2 linked regions of the Sus scrofa genome follow. The protein of the gene in region 1 interacts with the protein of each later gene in a pairwise test. Links are inferred from orthologs where the notes say so. Each region holds a gene or a part of one and is shown in the gene's direction. Other genes may lie near its edges.

Region 1 (3,747 bases):
AAGACCCTCATAAAATGTCCCATTGTGGCGCAGTGGAAATAAATCCAACTAGGAACCATGAGGTTGCAGGTTCGATCCCTGCCCTTGCTCAGTGGGTTAACGATCCCGGTATTGCCGTGAGCTATGTTGTAAGTCGAAGACGCCCCTCGGATCCTGCGTTGCTGTGGCTCTGGCACGTAGGCCGGCAGCTACAGCTCCCATTAGACCCCTAGCCTGGGAATCTCCATATGCCCTGGGAGCGGCCCAAGAAATGGCAAAAATAAAATAAAATAAATAAAATAAAATAAATAAAATAAAAAAATAAAATTAAATAAAATAAAATAAATAAATAAAATAAAGTAAAATAAAATAAAATAAAATAAAAAATAAAATAAAATAAATAAAGTAAAAAAAATAAAATAAAATAAATAAAATTAAAAAATAAAATAAAATAAAATAAAATTCAGGAGTTCCCATCGTGGCTCAGGGGTTGACGAAACCGACTAGGAGCCATGAGGTTGCGGGTTCCATCCCTGGCCTTGCTCAGTGGGTTAAGGATCTGGTGTTGTTGTGAGCAGACGCGTCTGCTACCTACCTGTGGTGTAGGTAGCAGACGCGGCTCAGATCCCGCGTTGCTGTGGCTCTGGCGTAGGCCGGCAGCTACAGCTCCGATTGGACCCCAAGCCTGGGAACCTCCATATGCCGCGGGAGCGGCCCGAGAAGAAAAAAAAAATTAAAAAGGAATTGTACTTCTGAATGTATACAGAATAAGCAAGAAACTGACGCCCTCTGAAGGATGAAGAGAGGGGTGTTTTTTCTTCTTAAATGTAAAAAGCTTTTTAAACGTTTAAAAAGTTGCATCTTCTGCACATATAATTTTAGAATTTCTCTTAGTTGATGGCACCATTAAAACAATACTGTATCGCCCTCTCTTTGTGCCCCCATCAACCCTAAAGTCTCGAAGGGACGCTCGAGGACCCGGGAGAGAGGAAGGCAGGACCCCGGCCTCCCCGCGGCGGCGGCGCGCGGCACACCCCTCCACTCAGGGCAGAGAGGCGTGTCCGCGCCATCCTGAGCAGTGGCCCGTTAGGTTCTAAGGAAGCCTGGACTCCTCCCTTCGTACCAGTTCTCAATCATCTCCTTAATGGCATTAGCCGGCCGCTGGATAACCTCCCCTGCCGCGATGCGGTTCACCACTGTCTCGTCCAACCGCCGGATAACTCCCGGTACCTGCGACATTTTGGCGCCAGAGCAGGCCGTGTAACGGTGAGACGCTCACTGGAAGGGCTTTCAGCCAATCTCCTTAGAGCTTCGCACCCACATCCTTCCAGCAACACTGCTGACGCCGTCCCGTCCCGCCCTCTAGCGGCAACACCACTTCCGGGACAGAGAGGTACTGATTGGGCATCTTGAATGCCAGTCAAGTTCTTAGCTCCATGATTCCTGTTCTCTTAGCCCTCCTTAGGCGGCTTTAGTGCACTTTGCAGCGAGAAGGATATGCGCCTGCGCGCTAAAAATCAGTGTCCGCTCTTCCTATTGGCTCATGCTTGCGGCAGGGGAATACGAAATCTCCAGCCAATAGGAATCAAGGTGCCGGAACCCCAGTGGTTTCCCCAGCTGGGGTGATCTGGCGCAGAGCGGAGTTGGCGCTTGGGGATCGCTCCTGCTCCTCCCCTCTCCTTGCGGCCTCCGGGAGGTCGGCCCAGATCCAGTGGTCTCCCGTGAGATGTGGATGACGCCCAAGAGGAGCAAAATGGAAATCGAGGAGCCTCGGGGTTTCCAGGCCGAGTGGACTCAGCGTTACCTGGTTGTGGAGCCTCCGGAAGGCGAAGGCGCCCTGTGCCTGGTCTGTCGCCGCCTGGTCGTAGCCAATGGCGAACCCGATGTCAGGCACCACTACGAGGCGGAGCACGATTACTACGAGCGGTATGTGGCGGAGGGCGAGCGCGCGGCCCTGGTGGAGCGTCTGCGTCAGGGCGACTTGCCCGATGCCGCCCCGCTCACCCCGGAGGAGAGAGCTGCTCGTGCAGGCCTCGGGCTCACCCGCCTCTTGGCCTTGAAGGGTCGCGGCTGGGGTGAGGGGGACTTCGTGTACCGGTGCATGGAGGTGATGCTCAGAGATGTGCTGCCTGATCACGTAGGCGTTATGGATGGCATTGATTTATCTCCGGAGATCACGCAGCAGAGGGTCCTAGACATTAACCAGAATCTACGCAGTCAGCTTTTTAACCGAGCCAAGGACTTTAAGGCCTATTCCCTTGCGTTGGACGACCAGGCTTTTGTGGCCTATGAGAACTACCTCCTCGTCTTTGTCCGCGGCGTGGGCCACGATTTAGAGGTGCAGGAAGAGCTTCTGACCATCATCAACCTGACTCAGCACTTCAGTGTTGGTGCCCTCATGGCGGCAATCCTTGAGGCCCTGCAAACTGCAGGGCTTAGCCTGCAGCGGATGGTTGGACTGACCACGACCCACACTCTGAGGATGATTGGTGAGAACTCAGGGCTGGTGTCATACATGAGAGAAAAGGCTGTAAGCCCCAACTGTTGGAATGTTATCCATTATTCGGGGTTTCTTCACTTGGAACTGTTGAGCTCCTACGATGTGGATGTTAATCAGATCATAAATGCCATATCTGAATGGATAGTTTTGATTAAGACCAGAGGCGTTAGGCGGCCAGAATTTCAGGCTTTACTAACTGAATCGGAATCAGAGCATGGTGAAAGGGTTAATGGACGCTGTCTGAACAATTGGCTTAGAAGAGGGAAGACCTTAAAACTAATATTTTCTTTAAGAAAAGAGATAAAAACATTTTTGGTTTCAATAGGGGCAACAACGGTCCATTTCACAGACAAGCAGTGGCTTTGTGACTTTGGCTTTTTGGTGGATATTATGGACCACCTTCGAGAACTCAGCGAACTATTGAGAGTAAGTAAAGTCTTTGCTGCTGCTGCCTTTGACCATATTTGTACCTTTGAAGTTAAGCTGAATTTACTTCAGAGACATATCGAGGAAAAAAATCTAACACACTTTGCCGCCTTGAGAGAAGTTGTTGATGAGCTTAAAGAGCATCTTCAAGAAGATGAAAAAATACTTGATCCTGAAAGGTATCAAGTAGTGATCTGTCGCCTACAAAAAGAATTTGAGAGACATTTCAAGGACCTCAAGTTCATTAAAAAGGACTTAGAGCTTTTTGCAAATCCATTTAGCTTTAAAGCTGAATATGCACCTATTTCAGTAAGGGTGGAGCTAACAAAACTTCAGGCAAATACTAATCTTTGGAACGAATACAGAACCAAAGACTTGGGGCAATTCTATGCCGGACTGTCTGCTGAATCTTACCCAATTATCAAAGGGGTTGCCTGTAAGGTAGCATCCTTGTTTGATAGTAGCAAGATTTGTGAAAAGGCTTTTTCATATTTGACTCGAAACCAGCACACCTTGAGCCACCCATTGACAGACGAACACCTCCACGCCCTGTTTCGGATTGCCACCACTGAAATAGAGCCTCAATGGGATGATCTTGTGAGAGGAAGAAATGAATCGAATCCATAAGCTTTTGTAGTACAACACCGAAACACTCAACAAGAATCCAACTCTAAAAGCAAAAATATGTTTGATTTTCAACTTTACTAATTTGGATTGTGGGAGAGTACCATGTTTTTTCACCCAAAGTGAAAAAACTTTCATCGCAGACATTTTTCACAATTCAAATGCTTCAGACAATTTTTTTTTCCTCTTTTCAAGAGGCAGCATGAGACTGAAACATG
Region 2 (3,647 bases), on another chromosome or scaffold:
GGCTCAGACGAAAGGGAAAGTCGCCAGGTCCACGCGGGAACTGCCCGGCGAAATCAGCATCCTCCTTCTTGGTGTGGCTTACTTCAAGGGTGAGGGCTTCACTTCGCTTTTGGCCCAGCGTGGCCGGTGGGTGTCTGATGGGGCCAGGCAAGAGGGCCAGTCAAGGAAGGCAGGGGAGGACCCAGGAGGGGCTCCTGCCTGAGTGAGGGCTGCCTGCTTGTCCTCGAACCCAAGCAAACACTGGGTGAGCGCCTGCAAAGGGAGAGACTGTGGCCCAAGACTGGCAGTGGGGAGGGCACTCCCGCTCTAGTGTCTGTGCGGGCTGGCTACTGGTAGGGAGGAGTCTGGCTGGAGTCAGACAAGGGTCCAGGCCCGGCTCTGCCTGCACTGGCTGGAGAGTCCTGCGCAAGTGTCACAGCCTTCCTGGGCCTGTTTTCTCGTCTCTAATGCGGGGACAACACGCTGGCTTCAGGGGCATCTTTCCGTGTTTCTCCTGTCTTCACATGGACCCTGACGCTGTGTCTAGGACAGGGCAGGCATGCGAGAAACCGCTCTTCGTTCTCGAGCAGCATACTCCTCGGCTAGTCTCTGGGCCCCCTGCGAGGCCGGCCCTATTCAGACAGGCCTGGTGTGGGATTCTGGGCAACCTCCCCTTAAAATGGTTTATAACCATCAGGCAGTGCTGAGAATGGACCCCTAAACTCCTAGAGAAAAGCTCCCCCTGAACCACTGATCTCCAGGAAGTGAAAGAAGCTGTTACCAACCAGAGTCAAAGGCCACATTAAATTGTCAGCTGGCCATGTGAGCGCTGGCAAGTCACTTTTCCTCTCTGGGCTTCCGTGCTTTTCCAGCGGTGAGAGCCTGATGACGCGACATGGAGGGCCCTTCCAGCTCTGGCCTCCCTGCGGTCTGTCTCCGGACACGTCCGTGCAGAAGCAGACGCCAGTTTTCCCTTCTCCCAGGCTAGCCCAGGCCCTGGATAAACTCGGCAGTCAAATCAATAACATCAAGCTGTTTCCTTCTGAGTTTCCTTCTGCTTCCAACCCTAGAAATAGTGTGGTCCTGACTGCACACTGAGCTACCCCTATTCCCCGGGGTGTGAGGGCCTCTATGGTTCTTTCAGCCAGGGAATTGTCAACAGCATGCTTTGGCCTCAGGGCGGTTCCAATGGCTTTCTGGTCTCCCGGGGCTCAGGGCACTCCACTTGTTTCATTCCAGGGCAGTGGGTAACCAAGTTTGACTCCAGGAAGACGTCGCTGGAGGATTTCCACTTGGATGAGGAGAGAACCGTGAAGGTGCCCATGATGTCAGACCCTAAGGCCGTTTTACGCTACGGCTTGGATTCTGATCTCAACTGCAAGGTCTGTGGGGGCAGCGTGAGTGGTGGGTGGGGGGACAGGCAGGACAGTGCAGTGGAAATGGAATGACCTGTGAGATCGGACAGGCTTCTACATTTTGCCCGCTGTGTGACTTTCATCGAGTTAATAGCATCTCTGAGCCTTTCTTCTCCTTTTTGGCCACCCTGTGGCATATGAAGTTCCCGGGCCAGGGGTCAGATCCGAGCTGTAGTGGCGACCTAGGCCTCAGCTATGGCGATGCTGGATCCTTAGCCCAATGTGCCAGGCTAGGGAATGAACCTGTCCTAGCTCTCCCAAGACACCACTGAGCCTGTTGTGCCACAGTGGGAATGCCTCTGAGCCTTTCTTCTTAAAATGAAAGGGTATAGCTATTGAAACTTACATTCTCACTCAGGGTTTGTTGTAAGGGTTAATAAGGTAATGTGAAATGAGCCCCCAAGATTGAGCACTCAAATACCGCTGTTTTCTTGTCTTTTCTTTCCTTCTTTTTCTTTTTTTTGGGGGGGCAGGCGAGTGGATCTTGTATATTTAGAATTCAACACCAAAACAGTCACAGACGCCGTACTGTGGGCATTCTAAGTCTTTTACATAAACCTGACTTTTGAAAATTCTAAGTCAGTCATTATTTTTATTTATTTATTTATTTATTTACTTGTTTTTTGTCTTTTTAGGGCTGCACCCAGGGCATATGGAGGTTCCCAGGCTAGGGGTCTAATCGGAGCTGTAGCTGCCAGCCTACACCACAGCCACAGACACGCCAGATCTGAGCCGCATCTGCGACCTACACCACAGCTCACGGCAATGCTGGATCCTTAACCCACTGTGCGAGGCCAGGGATCGAACCCACAACCTCATGGTTCCTAGTCGGATTTGTTTCCGCTGTGCCACGACTGGAACTCCTATTACTTTTTTAAAAATGAGAGTTGCAACATTTATTTCAGATTCTTCCTTTTTTTTTTTTTTTAATTTTTTGCCACACCTGAGGCATGGGATCAAACCTGTGCCACATAGCAGCAACTGGAGCCACAGAGGTGCAAACACAGGCACCTTAACCCTCCAGGCCATCAGAGAACTCCCTAAGTCAGTCGTTCTTAGCCTGAAGCACTGGAGAGAAACGCCATGTTTCTGTAAATGATTCAGGGGCTGCTGGGACTCCGAAGCCATTTGTCCCATGGATTGAAGAACCTCTGCTCAAAGGACCATTGTATTGCTGCTTCTATGTTGCAGTGCCTAATGCCCCCATTTCTAGTCCAGGGCTCTGTACTTAAGAGATAATCAGTAACTGCTGGCAGACAAACTTTGGGAGAAAACAGACCTGGATTCAATTCTAGCTCTAGAACCACAGGAGAAAATTCTTTCCGCAGATACCCTCAGTTGGTATCAGGCTGATTTTGAAGAAACCTTAGTAGACATCTTGCTGCGGGAAAGCAATAGCTTAGAGGGACAAGTGTTGTTCGGATGAGGGGCTGGGAGGCGTGGCGGGGCCTGGTCACAGGAGAGGAGAAGGCGGCTCAGGGTGTGTGTCTATCCCTAGGCTCCTGGGCTCCAACGTACTAACCCATGTGCTTCCTTCCTGTGGCTGCAGATCGCCCAGCTGCCCTTGACCGGAAGCATGAGTATCATCTTCTTCCTGCCTCTGAAAGTGACCCAGAACCTGACCATGATAGAAGAGAGCCTCACCTCTGAGTTCATTCACGACATAGACCGAGAACTGAAGACGGTTCAAGCGGTCCTGACCGTCCCCAAGCTGAAACTGAGTTACGAAGGCGAACTCACGAAGTCTGTGCAGGAACTGAGTAAGTCTGCAAGTTCTCTTTGCTCTTGGGGTGGCTGGGGTGGTGGCTTTGGACCTTCGACCTTGCTGAGCAGAAGTCGAGGGCTCCATGGCCCTGTAGGAAGGCCAGGGATTCCTTAATTCTAACAGTGCTGGCGGGCAAGACTGAACTGCCTCCCTTATCACACTCATTCCTCAGCCCTGAGCACACTCCCTGTAACAGGAACTCAGAGCAGCAGCGCCTCTCAAGATAGGTCTCTTGACCTGATTTCTAATCTTAACCCCACCTGCCATGTGCTCTTGGGCAAGTCTCTTAACCCTTAACCAGCCCAGAGCTACATACCTCCCAGAAGGACAAAAGAAGTGTTCCCCTCCCAGCTTGCGTGCCTTCTTGAGAATCAGGATTTAAGGATCAGGACAGTATTCTTCCTTGGAGTGCTGACGAGGCCAGGTTTCTCTAACGGAAGGAAATCTCTCTCAATCTCTGCAGAGCTGCAATCCTTGTTTGATTCACC

The links.
Region 2: the proteins of EPM2AIP1 (region 1) and SERPINF1 interact in binary tests that used the Homo sapiens proteins (3 or more experiments, as listed by UniProt). The two-hybrid records come from large-scale screens. The link is inferred for Sus scrofa from reciprocal best matches to the Homo sapiens genes EPM2AIP1 and SERPINF1.

The regions. Positions count from the first base shown.
Region 1 is NC_010455.5:21,876,441-21,880,187, forward strand, and holds the start of EPM2AIP1 (EPM2A-interacting protein 1), read left to right. Parts: upstream 1-1,422; 5' UTR 1,423-1,705; coding exon 1,706-3,532; 3' UTR 3,533-3,747.
Region 2 is NC_010454.4:47,955,467-47,959,113, forward strand, and holds part of SERPINF1 (pigment epithelium-derived factor precursor), read left to right. Parts: coding exon 1-89; intron 90-1,218; coding exon 1,219-1,361; intron 1,362-2,943; coding exon 2,944-3,154; intron 3,155-3,622; coding exon 3,623-3,647. UniProt on the Homo sapiens protein: Neurotrophic protein; induces extensive neuronal differentiation in retinoblastoma cells. Potent inhibitor of angiogenesis.